Linked DNA regions of Stegostoma tigrinum. The protein of the gene in region 1 interacts with the protein of each later gene in a pairwise test. Links are inferred from orthologs where the notes say so. Each region holds a gene or a part of one and is shown on either strand. Other genes may lie near its edges.

Region 1 (15,748 bases):
TGCCCAGGAGTGTGTCGGGGCATGTAGCATCTTCCTGGTGTTATTCATGTGATAGGCATCTACTGATCCAGTTTTTCGGGTATCTGTCGTCCCTGAATACTTGAAGGAGGTACTCTTCTTCTTTTTGGCGAGGTTCTGTGCTGCTGTAGTATATTGTTGCCCATTTAAATAATGTTCTCACGTAACTTTGTATTATGTCTGATGGGTTGGTTGCTGTTAATATTGAGTACTTAGTGTGTGTGGCGTTCCTGTGTTAGGAATTCCCCATTGGTCCTGCATTCCACCATGATGTCCAGGAATGGGAGTGGTTTGTTCTTCTCTGGTGAATCTGATCCTGGTGAGGGTGTTGTTTATTAGTTTGTGTGTCTCCTCTAGTTTGGTCTGTTTAATAAAGACAAAAGTGTTGTCTATGGTTTGTGACAGTGATCCCAACACTGACCCCAGAAAAAGCAAACTCAACACAACACATCTGAAAGGGAGGTACTAGAACGACTGAAAAAGAAAAAGAACATCACGATATTACCAGCAGACATACGGCACATGATGGTAATACTAAACAAACGGGATTACTTCTCCAAGGTGCACACACTACTCGCCGAAGAGAATACATATGGGCAAGTGCAGACAGACCTGGCACCACAACTGGGCAACCAAATTCTCAACACACTAAAGAGACTCAGACTCAAACAGACCGGACAAATCAACAAAACAGATGATCTAAGAATTAAATCTGAAGGAACTACGCCCACCAATTCTACATCCTCCCGAAGGTACACAAACTGAAAATACCCCTCAGACCCATAGTCTCCCTGACAGGCACACCATCATGTCAATTAGCCAAGGAACTACAAAGGAGTCTAAAACACCTTGTCAGCAAGTCACCCCACTCAATTTACTCAGCCCAGGAGTTCCTCAATTCAATCAAGGACATAGGAGTAGATGACAACGAGCTTGTGGTATTGTTTAACGTTACTGCCCTATTCACATCGAGAGACATACATGAGCAACAGAAACACTGGTAACACTACTAAAACAAGAACAAGATCTTAGTGACACCATCTCCACAGACAACATGCTGAAGCTACTGGACCTGTGCATCACCGCCCACTTCACCTTTAACAGCCAAATATATGAACAGATCAACTGGACACCGATGGGATCACCTATCTCTGGACTAACAGCTGAAGTGGTAATGGAGAGACTTCAAAGCATGGCCCTTCTGCTCATCTAATCAAAACTATGGATACACTATGTTGACATCTTCATCATTATTAAACGGACCAAACTAGAGGAAACATACACTCCAGGCTGAATACTTTCCATCTCCTACCACATTCTGTCTTCTATTGGACAGCCAATTCTATATCCAGATAGCCAAATTTCCCTGAATCCCATACTTTCTGAATGGGGAACCTTATCAAATGCCTCACTAAAATCCATATATACCACATCCACTGTTTGACCTTCATCAGTGTGTTTTGTCACATCCTCAAAGAATTCAATAAGGCTTGTGAGGCATGAGCTGCCCCTCACAAAGCCATGCTGACTATTTCCAATCAAACTGTGCTTTTCCAAATAATCATAAATGCTATCTGTCAGAATCCTTGCCAATAATTTGCCCACCACAGAACTAAGACTGACTGGTCTGTAATTCCCAGGATTATCCCTATTCCAGTTCTTAAACAAGGGAATAACATTTGTCACCCTCCAATCATCTGGTACTACTCCAGTGTACAGTGAGGATGCAAAGATCATCGCCAAAGGGGCAGCAATCTTTTCTCTTGCTTTCCATAGTAACGTTGGGCATATCCCATCTGGCCCAGGGGACTTATCTGTCATGTTTTTCAAAATTTCTAACACATCCTCCTTCTGAACGTCAACCTGTTCCAGCATATCAGCCTGTTTCACACTGTCCTCACAAGCGTCAAGGCCCCTTTCACTGATGAATACTGAAGCAAAGTATTCACTAAGGACCTCCTGTACCTCTTACAACTTCGCACGCAAGTTCCCTCCACTATCCATGATCAGCCTACCCTCACTTTTTGGCCTCTTGTTCCTCACATAAGTATAGAACATCATGGGGTTTTCTTTAATCCTACCCACCAAAGTGTTTTCATTACCTGCTTCTAACTCACGTAAGTCCATTTTTCAGTTCCTTCCTGCTCCCTTGTAACCCTGTAGAGGCCTGTACGATCCTTGCTTCCTCAATCTTAAGTAAGCTTCCTTCCTCTTGACTAGATGTTCTACGTGTCTTGTCATCCAAGGTTCCTTCACCTTACCATCCCTTCCTTGCCTCAAAGGGACAAACGTATCCAGTATCTGTAGCATGTGTCCCCTGAACAACCACCAGATTTCTGTTGTGTATTTCCCCGAGAACATCTGTGCTCAATTTATGCTCCTCCAATTCAGCAGCGGGAGCAGTGAGTGCGCGAGCCGGGGTGGGGCGGGGCACAGCCGGGAAGGTAAGATTTCTTTATAAAAACTTAGTGACTTGAAAGGAATTTGATGATGTACATATGCATATTACTCATTTAAAACTTTCTAACTGATTAAAGATTCAACAGCATCTTAGGTTTGTTTGATACATCCTCATCCATGGTGTGACCTTTAGATCTGTTACTTAGAGGCACACAGAACAGAATTTCTTTGTCATTTCACCTGCTGACGCAGCTATGCTGTGAAAGCTTGTGCTTTCAAATAAACCTGTTAGACTATAAGCTGGTGTCATGTGATTTCTGACCTTGTCCACCCCATTCGAACACCAGCACCTCCACATCATGGCTATCACAAAACCACCAACTGCTTGTTCAAGCTGGAGAGGATATTCAAGAATATTATGCATATCGACACAGACATCAAGTTTCTACAGAAATGCAAGAAAGCACAAAAAATTCCAAACAGACTACCGATCACAAACCCACTCGGGTTGACCTACAACACTGAGAGACTTTGCCATTGCACCTCTCTCAAACTCCTCGATCATGTGGTGTACCAACTCTACGGCTAGCCTTGAAATTGAGATACAGTCCATTTTCTCAGCTTGTGCTTGAGATACAGCTGTACAGTCACGAGACACTGCCAAACAGACGAGGCAATGGAACCACACCACCTACATGCACAGCAAGAACAAGAGACCGGAGAAACCTGGCATCACACCAGCAACAACCAAGTTGGTGGTACAGTTGAAGGGGGTACAGTTGAAATGGGTGCCACCATGGAAAAATCTATTGTCAGCTTATCAGACCACAGCCTTCAACCAGACGAGATTGAGGTTCTCAGCCAAGAACTCAGTATCTGCCCGCCCACTGAAATGAACCCCATTGGTCTCATGGCAGGCACAGAAGTATTCATCAGATGAATGAGATGCCAGGAATTCTTCCAAGATGTCAGCAGTTACTCCAATGAGACAATCAATGAACTGGATCAGTCGACAGAGATCCATGGAGGAGCGAGCAAAGGAGGAGTCAAATTGGACGCCTCAGGAGGGTCATTGCCTTGGCTTGACAAGTATGCTGAAGCCATCAGAGAATGTGTGAATTCCAGATTTATTAGCCGCAGTCAGAGGCAGTGCAAAACATCAACAGGGCACAATGCAATGGCATCTGTACTCTTAAGATCAATCGCAATATTATCATCAAACCAATGGACAAAAGAGGATCCATCGTCATACGGAATAGAACGGACTACTACAAGGAAGTGTACCGGAGGCTGAGCAACCAGGAACACTATGGACAACTATCTGCTGATCCAACCAAAGAACACACCTGTCAACTGAACAGACTGGTCAAGACTTTTGATCCAGTCCTTCAGAGTACCCTATGTATTCTCATCCCACGTAGGGAGCTTCTACTGCCTTCCAAAGATACTCAAAGCCAACACACCTTGACATCTCTTTGTATTAGGCAATGGGACCCTGTGTGAAAACCCCTTTTGGCTATGTATCTTCGAAGGTTCGTCAGATTAATTCATATGGGTAAAACAAATAGGAGGCAATCACTTTGCTAGACATATACTATGTTTTGGAAAGAGAAAAAGGCATGTAAACAAATCCTGAGGAAGTTTTAAAAAATAATAGGATAAATAGTAGGAGACTTCAGTTTCCCTAATATTACCTAGAGTAGACAAAGTGAGGGCAGAATTCTTAAAATAGGTCCAGAAGAGCGTTTTCTTCCTTTAGAAAGCCAAAATTTAGAAAATCCTACAAGAGAGTGGTGGTGCTGGACTTTAATATTAGGGAATGAAGCCAGGCAAGTGGTAGATGTAGCAATGGAGAGCCTTTGGTGATAATGACCACAAATCAGTAAATGTCAGGATAATTATGGACAAGGACAAAGATGAACTGGAAATAAAGATTCTGCTTTTTTTTTGGAGTTGTGACGAAAGTAGTGGACAGGGGAATGATGGAATTTTGTTTCCATGGACTTTTGGAGGGCATTTGATAAAATCCCATCGAAGAGATTGTTAACTAAGGTGGAAACCCATGGTCTACACACAGCAGGCGGTAGATATTTGGAATTACTTCCAAAACAGCAGTGGATGTTGGATCAGTGGTTAATTTTAAATCTGAGATTGTGATAGATAAGTTTTAAGCAAAGGTATTAATGGATATGGGCCCGAGATCTACAACTGAATGGTGGAAGAGGCTTGAGGAGCTGAATGATCTACTACTGTTCCTTCGTTCCTAATTGAGGGAGGGCTGATTTGAATATGATAAGACAGGATCTGGCCAAAGTGGATTGGAAGGAAAAGCCACATCAGAAAAGTGGGAGATATTCATAATGGTATTAATGAGGATGCAGGGTGAATCATGGGACCAACATGTCTGGAGAACCCTAGATATCAAGGGACGTACAGGATAGTATCAGGGAGAAAAAAAGAGGCTTATGGTAAATACGGAGGGCTCAAATGTTACAAAGATGCCCTCAAGGACTACAGAAAGTGCAGGGGGTTGCTCAAAAAGAAATTAGGAGAGCAAAGAGGGGCCATGAGAAAACACTGGTGGCTAACATGAAGGAAAATCTAATAGCATTTTATGTTAAGGGCAAGTAAAAAGTAATGTTAAGAGTAGAGCCTGTTACGGACCAAAATGAGAATGTGTGTGTGAAGCCGGAAGACACAGCTGAGGTTTCAAATAAGTACTTTACATCTGTATTCACTGCAGACAAGCAAGGTGTAGATGTAGAAATCAGGGAGGGCACTGTAATAATTAAATAATTAGCATTAAGAGGGTTTAGGGGGCAGGAAAGTGGACTTCAGTAAGGCGTTTGATAAGGTTCCCCATGGTAGGCTGATGGAGAAAGTGAAGTCACATGGGGTCCAGGGTGTACTAGCTAGATGGATTTAAAAAAAACTGGCTGGGCAACAGGAGACAGAGTACGAGTAGAAGGGAGTTTCTTAAATTGGAGACCTGTGACAAGTGGTGTTCCACAGGAATCTGTGCTGGGACCACTGTTGTTTGTGATACATGCAAATAATTTGGAGGAAGGTGCAGGTGGTCTGATCAGCAAGTTTGCAGATGGCACGAAGATTGGAGTATCTGATAGTGAAGGGGACTGTCAGAGATTACAGCAGAATATAGATAGATTGGAGAGTTGGGCAGATAAATGGCAGATGGAGTTCAATCTGGGCAAATGCAAGGTGATGCATTTTGGAAGAACAATTTCAAGGGCGAACTATACAGTAAATGGAAAAGTCCCAGGGAAAATTGATGAACAGAGAGATCTGGATGTTCAGGTCCATTGTTCCCTGAAGGTGGCAACGCAGGTCAATAGGGTGGTCAAGAAGGCATATGGCATGCTTTCCTTCATCGGACAGGGTGTTGAGTACAAGAGTTGGCAGGTCATGTTGCAGTTGTATAGGACTTTGGTTCGGCCACATTGGAGTACTGTGTACAGTTCTGGTCGCCACATTACCAAAAGGATGCTTTGGAGAGGGTGCAGAGGAGGTTCACCAGGATGTTGCCTGGTATGGAGGGTGCTAGCTATGAAGAGAGGTTGAGTAGATTAGAATTACTTACATTAGAAAGATAGAGATTGAGGGGGGGACCTGATTGAGGTTTACAAAATCATGAGGGGTATAGACAGGGTGGATAGCAAAAAGCTTTTTCCCAGAGTGGGGGACTCAATTACTAGGAGTCATGAGTTCAAAGTGAGAGGAGGAAAGTTTAGGGGAGATATGCGTGGAAAGTTCTTTACGCAGAGGGTGGTGGGTGCCTGGAACGCGTTGCCAGTGGAGGTGGTAGACGCAGACACGTTAACGTCTTTTAAGATATATCTGGACAGGTACATGGATGGGCAGGGAGCAGATGGACACAGACCCTGAGAAAATAGATGACAGGTTAGACAGAGGATCTTAGTCAGTGCAGGCTTGGAGGGCTGAAGGGCCTGTTCCTGTGCTGTAATTTTCTTTGTTCTATCCGCAGTGATTTTGCTCGGGCGCAATGAGGTCTGAGATATACAAGGCGTAGAACTGGATGAACACAGCAGGCCAAGCAGTTTTCGAGGAGCAGGAAGGCTGATGGTTCTGACAGATTATATTTGAGTTTTTCAAGGAGGTGGCTAGATGTGTAGATGATGATTGTGCAGTTGATGGTGTCTATATGTACATTAGCAAGGCTTTTGACAAGGTCTTGGATGGCAGACTAGTTAAGAAGGTAAGAACCCATAGAATCTAGGGCACTTTGTCAAATTAGATACAAAATTGGCTTCCTGGCAGGAAGCAAATGATAATGAAGAACTGTGTTTGTGTCACTGGAAGCCTGTGTTCAGTTGTGTACCACCGAGTTCACTGCTGCTTTGTCGCGTACATTAATGATCAACATATGTTTGTGTACGTTTGGAGGTAAAATGAAAAAGGTTGGTGTGGTAGATAGCAAGAAAGAAAGCCTTAGATTACAGGGGGATATAAAGGGGTTGATCAGATGGATTGAACAGTAGCAAATGGATTTTAATCCAGAAGTGTGAGGTGATGTGTTTTGGAAGGACCATCAAGACAAAGGAGTACCGTTTGAAAGATAGCACTGTAGGAAGTACAGGGGATCAGAAGGATGTTAATTTGCATCATCATTTAGATTCTTGAAGGCTGGAGGGCAGATGGATAAGCTGCTTAAGGCAGCATATAGGAGACTTGCCTTTATTAGTGGAGCAAGAAGGTTGTGAATGAGTTGTGGATAACATTGATTATGCCATAGCTGAAGGACTGTGTGCAGTTCTGGTCACTACCCAATGGGAAGGAATTACTGCAAAAAAGAAAATGCAGAGGAGATTCACTAGGATGCTGCTTGGGCTGGAATGATTCAGCTATGAAGAGAGGCTAGACAGTCTAGGACTGTTTTCCTTTGGACAGAGAAGGCTGAAGGGGCTTCTGCTTAAGGTGTACAAAGTTCTTACAGTAATAAATAGTACATGGGGAGGAACCTTATCCCTAAGTCGAGGGGTCAATAACCAAGGGCACAGTTTTTAAGGGGCAACAGGTTTAAATGGGTTTGGAGGAAATTCATTTGCCCCTAGATGGTTGCGGTTATCTGGAACTCATTACCTAAGAGGTTGGCAGAAGCAGAAACCCTCAAGAGATTTCATAAGTATTTAGATGAGCATTTGAAATGCCATAGCTATGTATAATGTTCTGTCTGGGCTCGACATTGATCAATCTGTTCCGGACAGTTCTGTGGACTGGCCTCTGTCCTATCAAGCATTAGAAAATGGGAATAGAAAAGATTGGAGATAATGGGAACTGCAGATGCTGGAGATTCCAAGATAATAAAATGTGAGGCTGGATGAACACAGCAGGCCAAGCAGCATCTCAGGAGCACAAAAGCTGACGTTTCGGGCCTAGACCCTTCATCAGAGAGGGGGATGGGGGGAGGGAACTGGAATAAATAGGGAGAGAGGGGGAGGCGGACCGAAGATGGAGAGTAAAGAAGATAGGTGGAGAGGGTGTAGGTGGGGAGGTAGGGAGGGGATAGGTCAGTCCAGGGAAGACGGACAGGTCAAGGAGGTGGGATGAGGTTAGTAGGTAGCTGGGGGTGCGGCTTGGGGTGGGAGGAAGGGATGGGTGAGAGGAAGAACCGGTTAGGGAGGCAGAGACAGGTTGGACTGGTTTTGGGATGCAGTGGGTAGGGGGGAAGAGCTGGGCTGGTTGTGTGGTGCAGTGGGGGGAGGGGATGCACTGGGCTGGTTTAGGGATGCAGTAGGGGAAGGGGAGATTTTGAAACTGGTGAAGTCCACATTGATACCATATGGCTGCAGGGTTCCCAGGCGGAATATGAGTTGCTGTTCCTGCAACCTTCGGGTGGCATCATTGTGGCAGTGCAGGAGGCCCATGATGGACATGTCATCAAGAGAATGGGAGGGGGAGTGGAAATGGTTTGCGACTGGGAGGTGCAGTTGTTTGTTGCGAACTGAGCGGAGGTGTTCTGCAAAGCGGTCCCCAAGCTTCCGCTTGGTTTCCCCAATGTAGAGGAAGCCGCACCGGGTACAGTGGATGCAGTATACCACATTGGCAGATGTGCAGGTGAACCTCTGCTTAATGTGGAATGTCATCTTGGGGCCTGGGATGGGGGTGAGGGAGGAGGTGTGGGGACAAGTGTAGCATTTCCTGCGGTTGCAGGGGAAGGTGCCGGGTGTGGTGGGGTTGGAGGGCAGTGTGGAGCGAACAAGGGAGTCACGGAGAGAGTGGTCTCTCCGGAAAGCAGACAGGGGAGGGGATAGAAAAGATTGGTTGGGACACACCGGGCTGAGTGGCCTCTTTTTGTGCTGTAAAAACTTTTTCACTTCAGGATTCAGATTGAGGTAGCTATAATCTTCCCCAGACTGAACATGATGAACACTGTGGTCAGCTTGTTCAGCATACTCTAACCTGTCTTGTGGGCTGGGAGCATTTTCTCCAATTCATTCTGTCCTCTGTGTCTGTGCACTCCCATCCATTCTGTCTTGTCCATTTTCTCCTGTCTGTCCACACTAACACATCTGGCCGTGGCATTTCTGTCCAGTCCACTGTGTCTGAGTTTGTCCCCTCTCTCTGTCCTGTCCACTGTCTCTGGCCCTGGTCTCTCTGGTATGTGGATTATTCCGGGTGGGGGTTGGGGCCTCGGCTCTGGACCAATCAGCGAGCTGAGCGGTGACTCACCAAATAAGGAGCGGCCGCGCCATAAAAGGAAACATTGTGTCTTTATATGGTGGAAATAGTGCCGGGTATAGGCCGTATCACTGCTCTCCGCCTGCACGCCTCAGCCCCTAAGAGTAGTGGATTCTGCGGATTCCGAGGACGCTACTGCCCAGGGCCTAGGTGGGAGGGAGGCGAAAGGTATTTTCCGGACGGGTCAGGGAGGGTCTGGCTGAGGAGAGGGGGCACTTAGCCTGGCACTATTTTAATGTGTAGTGTAGTGTGGTTGAGAGTAATGCGGCTGAGGTTTCCTTTCCCGGTGTCTCTGGCTTCCACATTGTAGACAGTGTCCCCGGCGTTAGACTGGGAGTCGCAGGGGGGGGGGGGAAACGGAGAAGAGACCGGGAACAGACTGGGTGTGGAGGGACAGACCGGGGGGGGGGGGTCGGGGGGGGGTGATAGACGGGGGTGCACTTTGGGGGGTGGGGGGGATAGACCGGGTAAAGGACTAGGACGGATTGGGATTATTCCAAGAGCAGAACCGGACTAAGAGCGGCGATAGATTGGAAAAGACCTGGGTGAGACCGGGACAAGTGGCCCCGAAAGATAACAAGGAGAGATCGGCTCTGACTGAGATTTAGGGACTAGACCGGGGCAGGGGTCACTCTTTCTCCCCCGCTCCCGGGGGCCATGCTGCAGAGTCCGGCCGGCACCGCTCCTCCTGAGCCCAACAGCTCGTCGTCATCACCGGCGGGCAGCCTGCAGCCAGCGGCCCCGGCCCCGGGCCCGGGCCCCCAGGCAGCAGCCGCTGCCGTGCTGGTGTCCCGGGACAGAGAAGCCCCGCTGCCTGGGCCCCCTTACAGCTGCTCGGAACCCAGCAGCGACGAGGACGAGGAGCTGGTGGTCGCCTCGGCCCCGGCTCCGCTTGACAGGCGGGGGGTCAAAAGGCGCCTGTCCGACCTGGAAGCAGCGGCTGCGGCGGGCCTGGCAGGGGTGAGCGGACACGGCCCGGGGCTAGAGCCTGGTCCGGGGAGCTTAGCGCCGGCTGGAGGCTATGGGGCAGCGTCGGCCCCAGGAGGGACTGCACCAGGAGCCGGACTAAAGCCTGGCAAGAAAACTAGGGGCAGAGTGAAAATTAAAATGGAATTTATCGATAACAAACTGAGGAGATACACGACCTTCAGCAAGAGGAAGACTGGCATCATGAAGAAGGTGAGTCTAAGAGTGACTCCTGTCCTGGAGAGTGCGGGGGTCACGTTCTGAGTGGAGGTAGGGAGAGTGACTCCCGTCCCAGAGAGTACGGTGGTGGGGTTGGGTTTGAGTGGAGGAGGGGAGAGTGACTTCTGTCCCAGAGGGGTCAGGTTTGAGTGGAGAAGGAGAGAGTGACTCTGACTCTTGTCCCAGAGGGGGGCAGGTTTGAGTGGAGAAGGAGAGAGTGACTCTGACTCTTGTCCCAGAGGGGGGCAGGTTTGAGTGGAGAAGGAGAGAGTGACTCTGACTCTTGTCCCAGATGGGGGCAGGTTTGAGTGGAGAAGGAGAGAGTGACTCTGACTCTTGTCCCAGAGACGGGGTGGGTGGGGTGGAGGTGGGGAGAGTGATTCCTGTCCCAGAGAGGTGAGGGTGAGGGGGTGGGGTGGGGTGGAGGTGGGGAGAGCGATTCCTGTCCCAGAGAGGTGAGGGAGAGGGGGTGGGGTGGGGTGGAGGTGGGGAGAGCGATTCCCGTCCCAGAGAGGTGAGGGAGAGGGGGTGGGGTGGGGTGGAGGTGGGGAGAGCGACTCCCGTCCCAGAGAGGTGGAACAGGGAAATGGAGTGGCAGAGAGAGAGGAGAGGGCAAGGAGTGACTCCTTGCCTGGTTTGGGGGGAGAGGAGTGGCTCCCTGCCACAGGTAGGGGTGGGGCAGGGTGAGGGTGGTGCGGGGAGAAGAGTGACTCTTGTTCCAGGGAGAGATTTTCAGTGGTCTGCAGAAAAATAAATGTGCTCGGAGCAAAACTGTGTGTCTGTGTATGGTTTGGGTCTGCACTGAACCGTTGAAGTGTTGTGAAGACGGTTAAGGCATTCAAGAAGATGTATCTGTTTAAACAATGTGCAAGGGTTCTTTTGGTTGGGGGGGGGTTGAGGTAAAGTAAACAAATGATCCTTAGTAATGGCCCATTGGATAGCTGCCGTAATCTTAGTGGGAATGTGGGTGGTTAGATGTGGTAGTGTGAGCTGATGAGGGAGAGGAGACTGGGAAGGGAAAGTGGTGCTGAAAGAGGAGAAAGGAGTTGAAGGTGTGACTGCAGGAGAGAGCGGGTTGGGGAGGGTAAGGAAAAGAGTGGAAGGTGGAGCTAGGGCTGAAGGGAGATTGGAGATATCATTGGGGAGGTCGTTCTGCAGCTGATACTACATAGGGTCAGTGGAAATAAAAGCCCTGGTTCTATATAGCTACAGTGTTACAGACACTACAGGAATTTGTCTTTCTGTGGTCCTTTATACCCACACCACTGTGACCATAGACAACGTAGTGTGTTGCTGTCATTCTATAGAGTGACAATGGTTTTGATACAAGCACTGTACCACATTGTGTTTTCTATGGTGACTGGTGTGGTCTGCACAGTGGAAGGTAACACATGATTGTATGTAGCAACAGTAGTATTAGTGTGGACAGTGGGAGGTAATGTTGCTATGATTCTGTATGATGACAGTGGTCTTGTAGATGTATACAGAGCTACCTGATGGAGAGACAGGTGGGCTTATTGTACAGATGGATATATGTTGAAACAGTACTCCTTTTTAAGGGACCAGACCAGCATCTCATGTTTTGAAGAAAAGCCGTGACTATAACGTTAGAGTAAACTCCCTTGTCGCAGGAGCAGTGATCTTGAAGAGCTTAGCTCTTTAAGCACTGTACTGCTGGGAATGTAGTTCAAACAATCTAATTGTGAATCCGAGAGTAGAGAAGTCTGTTTGAAATGTGCTCCCAAGTTTCTAACCTTGAGTGATTCAGAAGGTGGAAACTTAATTGGTTTTAGATATCATAGATATCACATCATAGTCTTCCAGATAATATTCTAATATGGTGCATTCTTGGTGATGATGAATAAACACTGCTTTAGGCTGGCTGGGAAGGCAAGTTTTTTTTTTAAAAAGACAGAAGGAGTTAAAATTACCTTAGCTGCTGAAACACTGGCACAAGTAAAGTCATAGACTTGTGCAGCATTTGCAGACAATTCGGTTCAACTCGTCCAGGCTGACCAGAAATCAGAAATAAATTTAGTCCCATTTGCTGGCATTTGGCCCATTTCCCTGTCAACCCTTCCTATTCATATACCCATCCAGATGCCTTTTACATGTTGTAATTGTACCAGCCTCCATCACTTCCCTTGGCAGCTCATTCCATACACGCACCACCTTGAGTGTGAAACAGTTGTCCCATTTAAATCCTTTCCCTCACCTTAAACCTATGCCCTCTAGTTTTGGACTCCCTCACCCTGATCAAAAGACCTTGACTATTCTTCATTTCACAACATTTTTTCTCTAGCAAGGAGACCAGAACTGAATGCAGTATTCCAAAACTGGCCTAACCAATGTCCTGTACAGCCACAACGTGACCTCCCTACTCTTATACTCAGTGCACTGACCAACAAAGGCAAGAATATCAAGTTGTCGCCTTCACTAATCCTGTCCACCTGGAATTCTACTTTGAAGGAACTATGAACCCACATCCAAGGCCTCTTTGTTTGGTGACACTGCCCAGGACCTCACCGTTAAGTGTGATGTCATGTTCTGAACTGCCCTATCAAAATGCAGCATTTCCCATTTATCTAAATTAAACCCATCTGCCACTCCTCAGCCCACTGGCCCATCTGAGCAAGGTCCCATTGTACTGATGTATCCTTCTTTGCTGTCCACTACATCAGCAATTTTCTCACCTGCAAACTTACTAACCATTCCTCCTGTGCTCACATCCAAACCATTTATACAGATGACAAAAAAAACAGCGGACCCAACACTGATCCTTGCAGTGTGCTGCTGGGCACAGGCCTTCAGTCTGAAAAGCACCTCTCCATCACCAACCCTCTATCTCCTACCTTCAAGCCAGTTATGTATCCAAATCTCCCTGTATTCTACATGATCTAACCTTACTAACTAGTTTACCATGTGGAACTTTGGATTCTTTACTGAAGTGCATACATATATCTCCTGCTTTGCTTTCTTCAATCTTCTTCGTCACTTCTGCAAAACAGCTGTCAAATTAGTAAAATACGATGTCCCATGCACAGAGCCATGTTGACTATCCCTAAGAGATGGCAAGAACTACAGATGTTTCACTATCCCTGATCAGTCTTTGCCTCTGCTTCTTCAAATACATGTAAATCCTGTCCCTCAGAATCTCCTCCAACAACGTAACTGACATTAGGTTCACTGGCCTGTAGTTCTCTGGCTTTTCCCTTTCTTAAATAATAGAACCAGTAGATGTGGCGGTCATCTTGTCTGATATTCTCAAGGAAGTCTAATGCAAGGGGTGTTCTGAGAATAGATTTGTTTTCTGGAATATTGTGGATAACTTTGGGACAGTGTACATTGAATCAGGGGTGTTGCTGGGAGCAGACTGAGAATAGACTTGCTAGTGTGAAGGAAATGGGTATCCCTGTGTGCACTGTGCTCTGGTGTGACCATTAAATGCCATCTAGTGAAAATTGTTGTTGCGCCAGTTGCCTCTATCAAAATGAAATTGACCATTGTAGACAAATGATTGCAGTGTTATTGCCCACTCTGCACCAGATTTTCAAGTTGCTGAAAATCTCTTCAGCTCTATATGCAATAGACTTGATCTGTGTTGCCAAATCAAAACTTGTCAATCCGCCCTGGTTGCTCAAATATTCTGGCTCATTTTTGTTGTAGGAGAGACTCTGGAGTATGTTGTGCATTTCTGCTACTTCTCTCTAAATATCACTACTAATGGCACCAGCTTAGTTTTTTTTTACAAATTTTAGCCTTTAATAACACAGAACTCCAGCAGTTATTTGCAGTGTTACTGTACTGCATTGAGACCTGGACATTTTCAGTTACACATAAAAGGCTGAGAGAAATTGCACCAGCAGTGCCTCCACCATATTCTGTGGGCAGACCATCAAACAAATCTTGTCATCCTTGATGTAATATTCAGGTTTAACTCCTACATGATCAATTCTGATAGACTGAACATTGTCTAGATTTTTGAAACATGTTTTGCCTACCATGTCCTATTTTTCTGACCCTCAGATGGCTCATTTCAGGTCTCCTTAAGATTGACATTCCTGAGTGGGAAGAAGGTGCTACCCATTGTTCTAAATGGCAGTTGCATCATCGTGAAGAGGGTATGGGCTCAAACGATGAGGCAGAGGGGCAGCAGAGAAGGAAAGAAAAAAGCAAATCCTGCTCTCCATCATATATTTACATCACACCGTCTCGTGGACGTGCACAAGGGTCTGTGGGTGGAGAATTGGCCTGTTGGGTCGTAATTGGCAGAAACCCACAATTGATTTTATGTGCTTGAATATTAGAACAATATGTGATGTAATGCCTGTGCAATGAAACAGCCTGCTGTTTGCCTTTCTAATTGCTTGTGATACATGCAATCCATCTGCATTCCTTGTACAGGTGTACCTAGGTGTATCTTTGCAAGTTTCCCACCTTTTCGCCAAAGTGAAATACCTTGGCCTTCTCCATTCTTTGCTCCATCTATCACATTGTTGTCCACTCGCTCACCGAGTCCCCACCTTTGCTGCCTTGGTTTCCTTCTCACAGCTTATTATATCTCTTCATTCAAGCCATTCACATAGATTGTAAATAGCTGAGGCCAAGCACTGAGGAAGTCCACTAGCCATAACCTGACAACTTGAAAATGCTCCATATATCCTTGTTTGCTTTTTGTCTGTTAATCAGCCCTCCATCAGTTCTAATATATTGTCTTCAAATTCATAATTGCTTATCTTCTATATTGAACTTGTGTACTTTGTCGTATTTTTCAGAAATCTACCTGCACTACTTCTACTGGTTTCCCCTTATTTACCTAGCTAGTTACATTCCCAAAAGTCTCTAAATTTGACAGATGTTATTGCCCATTTGTAAAACCATGTTGCCTTGTACATCGTGCCCTAAATGCCCTTTTATTTTACATGGATCCCAGGTGCTTGTCTCTTGTTTTTGAGATTTTTCATCACCATGTTGTATTATCTAGTTCTTTATTGGAGTAGATTTTTCAGTAGTTGAGATTCATTGTGTGATTGAATGATGAAATGTTGCTTTGTTGTCTCCTTGTCTTGTTATTATCAGGCCTATGAGCTCTCCACACTAACGGGTACCCAAGTGCTTCTCCTGGTAGCTAGTGAGACAGGACACGTGTATACCTTCGCTACAAGAAAACTGCAGCCTATGATCACCAGTGAGACAGGGAAGGCATTAATCCAGACGTGTTTAAATTCCCCTGATTCCCCACCACGTTCCGATCCCACTACGGATCAGAGGATGAGTGCCACAGGATTTGAAGAAACTGATCTGACGTATCAGGTTTCGGAGACGGACAGCAGCGGGGAAAATAAGGTAAAAACCAAAACTGCTTTTATGGTAAGAAGAATAACAAGTGGTCATGCAGTGAGTGGTCCCTATAATGTTCAAAGAATGT
Region 2 (15,897 bases), on another chromosome or scaffold:
AGTTGGTTGATAGTTTAACTCTCAACACACTTGCCATTGTTCAACAATTGCAGAATCATGCCTAACATCAGCTATCATGTTCTGAGTTCTTCTCTGTCTTAATTATCTCGATTAAATAAATCTGAGAGCATACTTCATTTTCTATGAAAACTTTTTTAAAAAATCACAAACACAATAGAACAAATTTATTTTAGAAATTTTAACTGTGAGGCAATGACCCTTCGAGCAAACACTATTTTAATTTGCTTTTGTGTAAGCCTGTGCAGACAGTTGAGTGGCAGGTCCAATAGATATAAATCTGGGCCTGTATTTAAGAATGACATGTGTTTTGTTAATATAGCAAGGATGAATTTTCAGTCACTTTGTTGGATTGACTGATACATAGGTCCAGAATGCTACTTCATGAAAAGGCTCAAAGCCCACTATCAACTTCCCATTAAATCACACTGACCTGCTTAGGCCTGAAACATCAGCCCTCCTGCTCCTCTGATGCTGCTTGGCCTGTTGTGTTCATCTAGCTCCACACTTTGTTAGACCTTAGAGAATATGAGTTCTCTTACTGGGCTGTTAATCTGGTCCAATCAAGGAGCATCGGTTGATAGCCAAGAACAGGAGTGTCATACTTCCTAGATAACAAAGTGTAGAGCTAGATGAACACAGCAGACCGGAGACTTCCTGTTCATTGTGAGAGCTGGCTCTGAGGGAACTGGATCAATGTCAAGGACTCAAATAAAGGATGGCTTGATGATGGGATACCAGCCTCTGCAGAGTAATTTACCATTCAGCCACAGAAACTGTCCTCCCATCTGGCTGTGCAATCTCCATAAAATGGCCAAGGGGTAGTTGGTTAATGCAAACATGAGTAATTTGGATGAAAAAGGCTTCTGTTGTTATGGGACAATGCAGGTGGAGATGGATCCTCGGGAAACTGGAGGAAGAAAAACACATTTTAAAATTTATTCTTTCAAGGATATGGGTGTCACTGGCAAGGCCAACATTTGTTACCTGTTCCTCGTCATCCTTGACCTACAAATAGGTCTATTACTGAGAAAGCATGTCCATAGAATCCCTACAGTGTGAAAACAGGCCCTTCAGTCCAACAAGTCCATACCAACCCTCAGAGCATCCCATCCAGAACCATCCCCCTAATTTACACATCCCTGAGCACTATGGGCAATTTAGCATGGCCAATCCACCTAATCCGCACATGTTTGGACTGTGGGAGGAAACCAGAGCACCTGAAGGAAACCCACACAGACCCGGGGAGAATGTGCAAACTCCACACAGGCAGTCCCCCAGGGATGGAATTGAACCCAGGTCCCTGGCACAGTGAGGCTGCAGTGCTAACCGCTGAGCCACTGTGCTACTCTTCTCTCACAATGTTCAACATGAAATCTTAATTCTGAAGCCAAAATATAATGTTTACACATGGTAGTGTCACAGAGTCATACAGCATGAAAACAGTACTGTCCCAAGTCCAACAGGCATTGTAGATTTAAACGCATGTATTATTCAGTGTTCTTGAGCTTGTGAATTTCTCTTATGAGATCAGTTTGAACATTTAGCAATTAACCCTAACCCTAACCCTAATCCTATCACTACAATAGTAGATGTAGCATCTAAGGAAGCAACAGCAAGAGCAACAAAGCTGAACCAATCACAGACACCGATGACTGTCACCAGTCCCATCATCACTAAGTTAACGGTGAGTAACGCAGGGCTTACCCAGAGCTTTAAGAAAGAGGCGAGGGAGGCACGGGGTCTTGATTGAGCTGGAGGCAAAATCCAGTTTCTTAGAGGTGGGGTACAACGTTCTTAAAACCTTTCAGCTAGGTAAACTGGCCCGGAGCCGGTTTTACATTTATTATCATGAATATTCAGTAATACTCCAGTCCCTGGCAGTATGTTCTCAGGCTTAAAGTTGATTGCCAAGAATGTGAAATGGGTGTGTTTATAAACCCAGTAGTGTAGAGGTGCCAGCATGGGTGAGGGTGTTGATAGATAGGCTTCTCCTTGCAAGCTCCAATGTGTGCAAATGTACTCGGTGACTTGGCTCTCTCATAATTACAGTGTTCCTTTGCATAAATGCTTACAGTGTTAAAGCTGAAGCCTCCCCATGTTGATCAATTCATGAGAAGTCTCAGTCTGGCTTGTTGTTGTTAAATGCTTACTGTGTTAAAGGGTGAATCCTGACTGTGCCAACAATTCTGCCCACATGAGGCAGTCCCATTGGCTGATGCCAGTACACTTGACTGGGAAGGGCAGGCAAGACTGAGCTCAAAGGTCGACTCAACTTACAAGATAATGTTTTGTTGTTGTGGCCTTGTTTCATACAGGTTTTGGCACAAAGCTCTCACATCAATATGTTCCTCTTGTTGTGATGGAAAGTCAATGACCTCTTGATGTGTGAGCTGCTGAGTGTCATCACTCTTCTATGTTTTGAATGTGAATCGTCAATGCATGGGAGACAGTACCACATTTGCGCCAGTATTGCTACATTGAGAACTGCAAGAAAGTGACAGACATTTGCAATGTGCAGTATCTGATGCCTGGCGCTGAAGCTCCTGTGTGAATATCCTCAGCTGTGCCAACCTTACCACAGTAACTGATATCCGCATGAAACATAGAGCAGATAGTGTGCATACCCTGACAGAGTGTAGCAGAACAATCATTCTCTTTCAGCACTGAAGCTAGGTTCTCTTGAGCATTCATCACCACAGAAACCAGGCTGCATTGGACAGTTACAATAGCCTCTTGTTGCTATCCAACAAGGAAAATCACTTCCCTTCTTTCCCGGGCACCCTCTCTACGAGGCTTCACCGAAACATGGCACCACTATTTCTTCAGGCTCTGGCCTCTCCAGTAGTGGTTAGGGTGACAGAGATAGTGGGTGATACACCTGGGCAGGGACAACTGTAGCGTTCTTGGTACCCTTGACAACTATGACTTTGATGCCCACTCAGAAAAAATTGAGAAGTCTAAAATTAAACTTTCCTTTATTCATCAACAGGATGAGGATGTGACTGGCTAGGCAGCTTTTATTGCCCATCCCTAAATGCCTAGAGGGCAGTTCAAAGTTTGTTGTGGGTCTGGAGTCATGTGTAGGCCAGACCAGGTAAGGATGGCAGTTTTCTTCCCTAAAGAGCATTAGTGAGCCTGATGAGTTTTTCCCCAACAATTGACTCACAGTCATCATTACATTCTTAATTCCAGATAATTTATTGAACTCAGATTCCACCATCTGCTGTGGTGATTTTCAAACCTGGGTCCCCACACCATTACCTGGGTCTCTGGATTAACAGTCCAGCAATAACACCACTAGGCCATTGCCTCCCCTTAAGTTTCATATTAAATTTAAATCCCTTTAAATTAAATTTTATCTTTAAAAATTCTCTTCCTGACTTCTGCCTCTTAAAATCTGGTGCCCCAGGTGATTGGCTGGTTCCCCTGCAATGTTAAACTGACACTCTTCCTGAGTTACAGAGAGGAATGTGCTATCTGGATGCATTTTGTAGACAGCTCCAGGATGTAGAAGCAGGTTCCAGTTGGTTATCAAACATCCTGCCCATAAAATCTGGTGCTTTACCGAGGGCGTGAATGAGTTTAGAAGAACATAACTACACAGGACAATCTGACTCACACATCAGTGGAAGTTCTACTAGCTGGTACACCTGCCTCCACAGTTCCTCCCAAATAAAGAAGGACTCAATCACCAATGAGCTAACCATAGCCTACAAAACCATTATCATGTGATCATTAGTAGTATAGATACTGCTAGCGTAAAAAAAAGGTGGTTTAATCAGTCACACAACCATTGTAGCTACATTTGCAACATTCATACATGATATCATCACATGGCTTCACAATAACTCATGGCAGCACAATTTGCAACGTAACCAATGCTGAAAGTTGTTGATAGTAAGTATGCAAATGTGTCAGGCAGTAAAGAAACCAAACTGTATGTTGGCCTACATAGTGAGAGGATTCAAGTACAAGAACAAGGATGTCTTGCTGCAATTATAAGAGGGCATTGTTCAGGCCACACGTGGAATATTGTGTGCGGTCTTGGTCTCCTTAGCTGAGGAAGGATGTTCTTGCTGCAGAGGGAGTGCAGCAAAGGTTTATCAAATTGATTCCTGGGATGGCAGGACTGACATGCCAGGAGAGACTGAATCAGTTAGGATCTTATCCATTGGAGTTGAGAAGAATGAGGCAGCATCACATAGAAACTTATAAAATTCTAACAGGACTGGACAGGGTAGATGCAGGAAGGAGACAGTAAGGAGCAGCTCAAGTCAATAAACATAGAGTTGGAAAAGCACAGCAGGTCAGATAGCAGTTTGTGGGAACTTGGAGCACACAATCTGCAGCGCTGCATTTCATGCATTACGACAGTGACTACTCTTCAAAATACTTCTACAGTTGGAAAGGAGTTTATGATGGTCCAAGGTGATTAAAAATGCTATATAAATACAATTCTTCCTCCCCATCTTTGTCCCATTAGGCGATGATCCAAGAGGGTTCATCATGACTTTCTCAGTGTAACTGCGGGGTGGACAATAATTGCCAAATGTACCCACCTCCTAAAAATAGCATTGAAAGAACCTCAACGGAGAGTGAATGGCTGACAGTTTTCCAGTCTGTGTCACTGTTTTTAAAACCAGCAGATCCCAATGTTAAGCCCATGAGATAATGTCCTCTGAGTGACACAACCTGCCCTATGAGATTTTACTTTCCATACTTCCCCTCAGGAATAAACATATCGGTAAGGGCCGAATGAGAATAGAAACATAGAAGGTAAGAGCAGGAATAGACCATTCGATCCCTCGAACTGACTCTGCCATTCATTATAAACAAACTGATCATTGAGCTCAATAAAGTGACCCGACCCTACTCCCATTTCCTTTTAACCCTTTAGCAACAAAAGCTATATATAACTCCTTCTTGAAAATATTCAATGTTTTGGCCTGAACTATTTTCTGTAGTGGCGAATTCCATAGGCTCATCACTCTGAGTGAAGAAATTTCTCCTCATCTCAGTCCTAAAAGGTTTACCCCATAACCTCTGTTTATGGACTATCCCACCATTGGGAACATCCTTCCTGCATCCACAGTCAATACATATGAAGCTGGAAAAGCACAGCAGGTCAGACAGCATCAGAGGAGCAGGAAAGTCAATGTTTTGGGCTGAAAGCCTTTGTCCAGGATGTGTGTGTCTGTGGCAATTATTGTCCACACTACAGTTATACTGAGAAAGTGATGATGAACCCTCTTGGACCATCAACCAATGGTATAAAGATGGAGAAGAAGAATTACATTCATCTAGCATTTTTAATCATCTCATATCAATATAAACCCCTTTCCAGCCATGAGATTATTTTGAAGAGTAGACATTGCTATAATGCAGGAAATGGAGGAGTGGACTGCATCCCAAAACCAGTCCAACCTGTCTCTGCCTCCCTAACCGGTTCTTCCTCTCACCCATCCCTTCCTCCCACCCCAAGCCGCACCTCCATCTCCTACCTACTAACCTCATCCCACCTCCTTGACCTGTCCGTCTTCCCTGGACTGACCTATCCCCTCCCTACCTCCCCACCTATACTCTCCTCTCCACCTATCTTCTTTTCTCTCCATCTTCGGTCCGCCTCCCCCTCTCTCCCTATTTATTCCAGTTCCCTCTCCCCATCCCCCTCTCTGATGAAGGGTCTAGGCCCGAAACGTCAGCTTTTGTGCTCCTGAGATGCTGCTGGGCCTGCTGTGTTCATCCAGCCTCACATTTTATTATATTATAATGGAGGAGTGGAGATTGTACACGCCAAGTTGCCACAAACTGCAATGTGATTATGACCATGTGATGCATCTTAATGATGTTACCTGATAAACATTTACCAGGCTATTGAATAGCGCTTATCACAAGGACCTTGCTTTAACATGTTATCCAAAATATAGTGTCTTCAGAAATCTATCTGCCCTCCAGTGCTGTATCCCGTCACCTTAATTCTTGTGGCCGGATATCAACATGGATTTCACAAGCTTCAAAATCTCCCCTCTCCCCACTGCATCCCAAAACCAGCCCAGCTCGTCCCCGCCTCCCCAACCTGTTCTTCCTCTCACCTATCCCCTCCTCCACCTCAAGCTGCACCTCCATTTCCTACTCCTAACCTCATCCCGACCCTTTGACCTGTCCGTCCTCCCTGATTGACCTATCCACCCTCTCCCTCCCCACCTATACTCACCTCTACAGGCTCCATCCTCGCACCCTAAACTTGTCTATCTCCTCTCCAACTATCTTCTCCTCTATCCACCTTTGATCCACTTCTCCTTCTCTCCCTATTTATTTCAGAACCCTCTCCCCATACCCCTTTTCTGATGAAGGAACTAGGCCTGAAACTGGGCTCCTAAGATGCTGCTTGGCCTGCTGTATTCACCCAGCTCCACACTTTGTTACCTTAATTATTGTGCTCAACTTTTCTCATTCGCACATGGGACATGGGCATCACTGGCTGGGCCAACATTCATTGCCCATCCCTGGTTGCTGTTCAGTAAGTGGTGGTGAGCTGCCTCCCTGAACCGTTGCAGTCCACATGCTGTAAATAAACCCGAAATGCTCTTAGGGAGGGAATTCCAGGATTTTGAGCAGGTGACAGTGAAGGATGGTGAGTGGGTTGGAGTGGAACTTGCAGTTGGTGGCTTTCCCATGTATCTGCTGTCATTTCCCTGTAGATATAAATGGTCATGGGTTTGGAAGAGGCTGTCTAAGTGTGCCTTATTGAGTTCCCGCAGTGTGTCTTGAATGTTGTGCCTTGTAGTGACACTTGAATTTACAACTTTCTGATTCTGACGTAAAAACATGCTGTATGGCTGGCACTGAGAAAACTTGAGCTATATTCCGAGATCACAGATTTCATGCAGATTTCCAGTCTCTAAATCTTCTGCCACCCCATCTTCAGCCAATGCCCTGTCCCTGTTACAAAATGATCTGCAATGCGTAGCTCTTGCAGAAGGAAAGGATCACTCTGATAGCCACAGACATTGTGGTGCCATTCTGTGTCAACATTCCTTAGGTTGTTTGATGGCCCTCTCTGAGTGATGGTTTACAGTAACAGGCCATTCAGCCCACCTTGTCCATGATGTTGTCACCATAAATCAAAAGGGTATAAGAAATAAGAATAGGAGTAGGCCATTCAGCCCCCCTCAAGTATGCTCCACCATTCAATAGGATCACAGTTGATCCAACATTCCTCACATCCACTTTCCTGCCCTTACCCCATTACACATATATTCTCCTTTGATCAAGAATCTATCATTCTCTGCTTCTCTGTCCCCACAGTTCTCTCTGGTAAGGAGTTCCAAAGACTCACAACCTTCTAGGCACTATGCTCCCTGGTCCCGTGCTCTTCCAGGAGGGGAAAGAATCCTCTCCGCATTTACCCTGTCAAGCCACTTAAGGATCCTATATATTTCAATTAAATTATCTCTCGTTCTTCGAAACTCCAGCCAGTAGAGTTCTAATCTGTTTAGCCTTTGCTCATAAGACAATCCCTGCATGTCAGCAACAAAAACAAAGTTGCTGGAAAAGCCCAGCAGGTCTGGCAGCATTTGTGGAGGAGAAAATGGAGTTAATATTTCAGGTCTGGTGACCGGTCATCCGCAGTTCTTTTGGCCCTCCATGTCAGGGTTCATCTTTGTGAACCTTCTGTGAGCTGCGTCCAATGAAGTGATATATTTCCTTAAAGAAGGGGACCAAAACTGCTCCAGTACGCCAGACATGGTCTCACCAGCACCTTGTACAGTAGCAGTAAGATTTCCCTACTCTTGTACTGTAACCCCCTTGGGATAAGGGCCAACATTCCATTCGCCTTCCTCATTACCTGCTGCACCTGTGTCCTAGCTTTCTACATTCCATGTATAAGTCCTTCTGAGTCCCTTTATGTTGCAGCTTTCTGCAGTTCTTCTCCATTTAAATAATATTCTGTTCTTTTGTTCATCTTCCAAAATGAACAACTTCACATTTCCCAGATGATATTCCATTTCTCAATTTTTTGCCCATCAGGCACAATTAATATATCCTCTGCTCTTTCTCCATCAGCAATTTCCCAGCTTCTTTTCCGATAATATCCTTCCAGGAGAGAGTTTGGATAGACAATGGCATTTGCATCACTGAATTCCTCACCATAAACATCCTGGCAGTTACCAATGACCAGAAGCTAAACTAGATCTACTCTATAAACATTCTGGTTACCAGAGCAGGTCAGAGGCAAGAAATCCGGCAGTGAGTAACTCACCTTCTGACTTCCAACAGTCTGTCCATAAGACACAAGTCAGGAGGCTGATGAAATACTGCCCACTTGCCTGGATGGTTGCAGCTTGAACAACACTCAAGAAGCTCAATACCATCCAAAACAAAGCAACCCACTTGATTGGCACCACATCCAGCAACATCCACTCCCTTCACCACTGTTGCTCAGTAACAACAATGAGTACTATCTACAAGATGTGCTGCAGAAATTCACCACCAAAGATCCTCATACAGCTCCTTCCAAAGCCACTACCACTTCCATCTGGAAGGACAAGGTCAGCAGATACATGGGAGCACCACCACTCCAAGTTCCCCTCCAAGCCACTCACCATCCTCACTGGGAAATATATCACGTCCCTTCAGTGTAGTTGAATCAAAATCCTGGCACTCCCTACCTCCCCAACAACAGTGCGAGTAATCCCACACCAAACAGATCATGTAGTTCAAGAAGGCAGCTCTCCACCACCTTCTCAAGATTTATTGAAGATGGACAATAAATACTGCGCAGGCAGCCACACGTAAAGGTGACGATTAAAAATAATTCTCTTCAATCAAATGTCTTCACAAAGGCCTTTGTTGGGTCAGCCCTGATTTCCCCAGTTTTAGTTAGAAGTCTAGGTCTACCGCCTCTGTTTGGAGCAATATGTGGGGTAGACATCTCAGCTACTAAATTCCCAACCAGTTCCATTGCACTGCGACCATCCACGTGTCTCGCTTTAGGACGCCGCGGACATCCTCAGCTGAGCTGACAGCTCCCAAAGGAACCGAAAGGAAATCGATCTGGAGAAAGAAGGGGGTGGTAGCGAAGCGAGTGGTAGAGGTGGGGAGAAGCAGACAGAAATCGCCACACGGTGGGGGCAACACGAGGAGAGGATTATAAACGGAGGGGAGATAGAGCTGTCAGGGGTTAAACAGTTCCCTCCTGAGGGTGGGGTTGTGCGTAGGAGGTGGAGACCGTGAAGGGAGTTGTGATTGTAAGGGGTGGGGGCGTCACAGAAAATCTGGCGTGAGGAGGTCCTGATCTCTCTCTCTCTCACACACACACACACAGGCTGGCAGAGAAACACCCACCAGCAACCACCAGCCCCACCCCACCCCACCTTCCGCTGGAGAAAGCCCTGACCCCTAAAGTGACAGGAGACACCGTGATATTAACACGGGGAGGAGGTGGAGGCGAAGGAAATTGACAGACATGAAACTGATCGGCGGGGAGAGCCGAGGCCAGCAGCTGCCGCTTCACAAGGCGGTTAGGAACTGCAGCTCTCCCCCTCAGCCTCCCAGCTCCCAGTAAAGCGACCGGAGAAGGATTTCTATCGTTATCAAAAACAGCATTCTTTTGATTCGGTTTTAATGTTAATAGCATGATCACCCTGGAACTGCCGAACTCGGAATTCGCGCAGAGAGACCTGGCACACTGGAGTTGGGGGTGAGTATCTTTTGTATCTGTTTGTATCTTACTGTGTCTTTGCAACAATGTTTCATTTCCTTTGTTCTTGGTTAATTTGTAACAAATTTTTTTTAAAAAATCATTGGGTTACAATGTATCGAGCTAGCGGATGTAGCGATTTCGAGTCCAGCTGTCGACTGCATGTCTATGTGGTGAAGTGGGGAGTTAATTAAAAGGGTTTGGCAAATGACTATTAGAAATCAAGCGAAAAAGATAAAAACAAACTGAGCATATTGCTGAAGGTTAGGAATGGCATTATATATAATTGCCTAAACAGATGGGCTGTACTTGAATTTAGAGATTGTTTCTCCCCGTGATGTAAACTCTCACTGGACCTTGTTTAGGCCTGGAGTTGCACCTCCCGATTATTTTGCCTTGCACTTTATTTTATCGCTTTTATCAAATTTTTTTCCCCTGACCCCACAAATCTGCTTCTCCAGTTGGCAGCTGTCACGGAGGGAGATTCGCTTCCTTGAAGAAACTGGTCAGAATTTGGGTTAAGAGTTGTGGATGTTTGCCTCGCTGGCCTTGGGCGAGGGATTAGGAGGACCAACGTTCCGGCGCTACATCGCTTATCCTCAGGGAAGCGTGTGTACGTCTGTAAGGCAGGAGAGAAGGAGGGAGTGTTGCTTCTTCCACACCAGGCAGCGCTTGCTTGCATTTATATAGCGCCTTTCACAATTAAGTGTTTCAAAGCACCTCACAGAATTAACTCTCTTTCAATGCGAGAACTGTAAGTCAGTATTGAACCCTCCCTCAAATAACAATGCAACTGTGGCCAGACAATCTGTTTATGTGATATTGAGAGGGAAATAACGGCCAGGGCACCAGGGAGAACTCCGAAATTTCTTCAAAAGCGTATCACCTGGAGGAGCAGGAAGGTAGAGCCTTGGTTTAACATTTCATTCCGGGAGACGATGCAGCACTCGCCCATGGCACTACAGTTGTAGAGGGGCACGTGACTGTGGCACAAGGGAATGTCAGGACGGGGCCAGGAGTGTGGAGGTGGGCATAGGATGTAAATGATGCTTTTCAGGCCCTAAAGTTATTGAACTTGGTAACAAATTCTGAAAGCTGCAAGGTTGTTAAGTAGAAAAGGTACGACACGGTGGCTCAGTGGTTCGCACTGCTGCCTCACAGCGCCAGGGATCTGGGTCTGATTCCAGCCTTGGGCCGCTGTCTGTGCAGAGTTTACGCATTCTCCCTGTGTCTGTAGGGGTTTCCTCTGGGTGCTCTGGTTTCCTCCCACAGTCCAAAGATGTGCAGGCTAGGTGGACTGGCCATGCTAAATTGCCTGTAGTTCCTGGGGATGTTTAGGTTGGGCACATTAGACATGGGGAAATATAGGGTTATGGGTATGGGTGGGGTGCTCTTCGGAGGGGTGGTGCAGACTGTTGGGCTGAATGGCCTGTTTCTGCACTTAGGGATTCGATGAAAATGAGATGCTGTGCTTCCAGGTTGCACTGCAGGAGGCCTGAGACAGAAATGTTAGTCAGAGAACACAGCGGTGTGGTGAAGTGGTAGGCAGCTGGAAGCTTGGGATCATTTTTGAAGACAGGATGTACGTGTGCCTCAAAACGGTCGCCCAGTCTGTACGCTTGGTTGAAATACACATGTGGATCAGAATCCACTGGTGGTAATGTTCAGTTCAGTTGCCACATTGTTGTCCTAGTGGGTTGAAATGGAATCAAGACATGGGGGCGCACCAGGTACTACTACAAGGAGGAAGCACGTGTCCCTGAATAATAACAAGGAGAACTGATGGCCTGGCTGTGAAGCAAAGTAATCTTGTCAGAAAACAGTGAGCGCAAAGCTGGAGGCTGAATTATCTTCACAGTAATCACTCCCACATACTCATTATTTTTAACAGTAATAACTTGTGTTATTTATACAGCAGCGACGCTGAAGTTGGAGCTATCGTTAGAGAATGGGTAGGTTTGCAGGTGTCGTAGGCAATGCTGCTAGTCAATGCAATAGGCAGTCCACTCTGAAAAGATTAATTATCTGATTGAGCCCTACACATAGCTGTCAGTCTAATGCCTGTGTTCCTGGCATTCCTCTGTCTTGGAGGATACATTACTGTAAATAGTTCATAGATCCAGTTAAAGTATCAGAGGAATGGAATTCAAGGGTGTTAATTATCACAAACAAAAATGTATTTGTATGCAGGTGGGTTTTCTCCTAGCATGAAAGCGTGAGACCAACAATATAGAAAAATGAGTAAAGGACAAGAAATGTGTAGGAGCAGGAATGAGGAGGTAGTGTGGTGGCATTGTATCAGAGATAAAAGGAACTGCAGATGCTGGAGAATCTGAGATACTGCAGATGCTGGAGGCCCAAAACGTCAGCTTGCCTGCTCCTAAGATGCTGCTTGGCCTGCTGTGTTCGTCCAGCTCCACACCTTGTGGCGGCATTGTCACTGGTTACTAATCCAAGCAAATGTTTTGGCATCACTGGTTTAAATCCCACCATGGTGGCTAGTTGAACTCAGTTATTGAATCTGGAATGTAAAGTTAGTTGTGGTAATGGTGACTATGAGAATCAATTGTTATTACACCCCATCTAGTTCACAAATGATAGGAAATCTGCCATCCTTACCTGATCTCACCGTTGCAGACTCTTAACTGCCCTCAGTTGGCCTCACAAGCTGATTAGTTCTAGGGATGGGTAACACATGCTAGGTTTGCCAATGATACCCAGGGAAGAATGAAGAAAACAAGGGTGCTATTCAAGTATCCTTCAATCAGAATGCAGCTGATCTGTAACTCAACTCCATTCATCCAACTTTGCTCTATATTTCTTAACATTCTTATGTCATGCACTCCTTACAATTGCAGTCTTGAGAGTTTCAACTGAGCTCCAGCCTCAACAGCCTTTTGGCGAAGAATGGTTCCAAATTACCATTCCCCTTTGAGCGAATCCCTTTCTGATTTGACTCCTGAATTTAGTTTGAAAACTGTACAAAATTATTCCACACTCTCCACATGAGGAACTGCCTGATCTGCATCTAGCCTCACAACACCTTTGCACATTATTAAATGCCTCCTTTAGATTGCCCCTCATGTTTCTAATCACAACAGGGCACACATCAGGTTTATGTAACCCATTCTCATTATTCTGTGCCAGCAGTATACTGATCAACAGGCATTTTACCAAGACCTTGCTGGAGTCCAGAATTAAATGCAGCATTTATATTGCTCTTTTCACAATCTCAGGAGGACGCAAAACATTTTGCAGCCAATAAAGCATTTCTGAGTATTCCTTGTGCATATTTAAGGGTGGGATACGTAGATTTTTGATCAGTATGGGGAATCCAGGATAACAGGGAAAATGCAGGAAAGTGGATGTGAGGAATGTTGGATCAGCCATGACCCTATTGTATGACGGAGCAGGCTCAAGGCACAGAACGGCCTACTCCTGTTCTTATTTCTTATGGTCTTATGGCCTAAATAGTCTTCATTGTGTAATGTAGGAAATTTGACAAGCAATTTACATGCAGTAAGGCCCCATTAAAAAAATAAGAAAATATCTGTTTGTGATGGCAGTCAAGGAATAAATATTGGTCAGAATAAGTCTTCAGAAAGTGTATGGGATCTGTTACTGAAAAGACAACTTAAGGTTTCGTCAGAGAGACAGCTTCTGTCTATGTAGCACTTCTTAGACACTGGCACGAATTTTGTGTTCAAGGTCTCAGGAGTGATGTTTGAACCTACAACCTTTTGATTCAAGGCATGAGTGCCACCCATAGCCAGGACTGATGCAGAATCAGGGCCTTGATTTTATTGGAGCAGGCTGTCTCACAGTAAGTGAATGTACCCTGCTTACATTCACTTTTTAAAATATATTCTCCACAAATTTGTTGGAAGTGAGAGGATATAACGGTGTGGTGGAAGCTATGGGACTGTTGACCCAATGATACCGAGGTCTATTTCCTTTATCAATTAGATGGAAAATTGAGAAGTAAGGAGCTTAGACTGAGACTGAGACGAATTCCTGCCTAATCAGTTGCACAAAGTAAAATCAAGATGTGGGGATGGTGGGGTGGAGAAATGACTAGATTAAGAGACAGAGAAAAAAGAAATTGTAAAGAAAACCTAGAAAAATTACTTTTAAAATTGGTCATTTTGAAAGACTCCCCAGAAAATTCAAATCCTGGGTGAATCAATCTCCACATTTACAATCATTTATCTTTCTGAGCAGGAGAGTTTTGCTGGCAGTAATTAACAATTATCACATTTTTAAAAGGGGACTTGTGTTTTTAATTACTAGACTTAAATTTCTGTGGTGTATTTGATGGGTAATTAATGTTCGCATGCAACAAACTTCAAGAAACTCACGGGGCGGTAGAGTGAGATGCTATTTACATGAAGCTGATGGCTCAGCAGTGCAAATTAACCAATAATTTGTGGTGATTTGCATTTCACAGAGCATCTATTCCTTGCTACAAGTTCCTGACTGATTTGTGCTTAAATTGTGTGTCTTAATCTTAACCTATCATTTCTTGATCCTATTTTCATTCTTCAGATGTCCTTTTCCCCACTCTCACTCAATTGCACAATGCAGTGGGAAAGTTGAGATAAATTCCACCATAAATGTACCACTCAGAACTCTGTCATCTATTGTGCCAAGAGAATAGTTTGTGTGTAATAGCAGCAATCTGTAACCTACGGTTTGCACTTCTGATAGCTGTGCAGAATTAATCAACTCTATCAAGTCTGTAAACGAGAGGTTGGACATTCATTACTATTAACCTTCAGGATGACTTGTTTTTGTTCTTATATCAGCCTACATGACCCATTCACTGAGAGTTGATATTATAAAGATTTCTAAAATTATGAGGGGCATGGATAGTGTGAATGGCCATGGTCTTTTCACCAGTGCAGGGGGTCCAAAAATAGAGGGCATAGATTTAAGGTGAGAGGGAAAGACTTAGAATAGAATAGAATATCGTTTATAGTCACATGTACTCCAGTATCGAAGTACAGAGAAAAGTTTTTACAATGGCTGCCTTTTAATGATACAAGTAGCTAGGTACAAATGTTACAGAGTCAAAAACAATGTTGTTATACAAAAGAGGATTGAACAGTAAGGATTTACATTACACCCTGGTCAGAATATCAAACAGCAGCAGCTCAGCATGTGGCACCAGGCCCAAGTCCAACAACTGACCCACATCACACCAGCCTCCTGTCCGCTCCTCACTGGCACTCAACAACAACAAGGTAAGTTGCGCATTCCTGGGATTCACCTCCCTTGCGCTGCTCCGGCACTTGGGATTCTTCACTCGGTGTCCCCGGGCTCACGGCCCACTCGGTGTCCCCGGGCTCACAGCCCAAGTGCTATATTGGCTCATTCCCCTCCCTGCTCCAGGACACGCAGTTCACACGTGATACCTGCGGGGCAGCTTTTTCACTCAAAGGCTGGTGCATTTATGGAATGAGCTGCCTGAGGAAGTGGTGCAAGTGGGTACAATTACAGCATTTTAAAGGCTCCTGGATGGGTATATGAATAGGAAAAGTTTAGAGGGATATGGGCCACATGCTGGCAAATGGGACTGGATGAATTCAAGGTTTCTGGTCAGCATGGACAAGTTGGACCAAAGCATCTGCTTCATTGCTGTACATCTCTATGACTCCATGACAATAGATCTAATTTGCCTTAGGCAGGATTGGATTAGATTCCCTACAGTGTGGAAACAGCCCTTCGGCCCATCAAGTCCACACCGCCCCTTGAAGCATCCCACCCAGACCCATCCCCCTATAACCCACACATCCCTGAGTACTACAGGCAATTTAGCATAGCCAATCCACCTAGCCTGCACATCTTTGGATTGTGGGAGGAAATCCGAGCACCCAGAGGAAACCCACACAGACATGGGGAGAATGTGCAAACTCTGCACAGACAGTCACCCGAAGCCGGAATTGAACCCGGGTCACTGGTGCTGTGAGGCTGCAGTGCTAACCTCTGAGCCACCGTGCCGCCCCCACTTAATATAGGTCAAATAAATATTTTTAAAATTAAAAATGACCTTTAATTTTTCTGAAAAAAACCCTTTTTATGTGTATATCAGTTTGTGTTTTTATTCAATGTTTGCTGGGAATTTGTTCTTGAATTGGAAAGATTGAAGTTCATCACCAGTGCTAAAGGTGCAA

Evidence for each region.
Region 2: the proteins of serum response factor-like (region 1) and ETS domain-containing protein Elk-4-like interact in a two-hybrid assay, tested with the Homo sapiens proteins (2 studies listed by BioGRID and IntAct). The link is inferred for Stegostoma tigrinum from reciprocal best matches to the Homo sapiens genes SRF and ELK4.

What each region holds. Positions count from the first base shown.
Region 1 is NC_081357.1:7,493,610-7,509,357, reverse strand, and holds the start of serum response factor-like, read left to right. Parts: upstream 1-9,594; 5' UTR 9,595-9,792; coding exon 9,793-10,314; intron 10,315-15,399; coding exon 15,400-15,666; intron 15,667-15,748. UniProt on the Homo sapiens protein: SRF is a transcription factor that binds to the serum response element (SRE), a short sequence of dyad symmetry located 300 bp to the 5' of the site of transcription initiation of some genes (such as FOS).
Region 2 is NC_081374.1:6,978,767-6,994,663, forward strand, and holds the start of ETS domain-containing protein Elk-4-like, read left to right. Parts: upstream 1-9,098; 5' UTR 9,099-9,724; intron 9,725-15,897. UniProt on the Homo sapiens protein: Involved in both transcriptional activation and repression. Interaction with SIRT7 leads to recruitment and stabilization of SIRT7 at promoters, followed by deacetylation of histone H3 at 'Lys-18' (H3K18Ac) and subsequent transcription repression.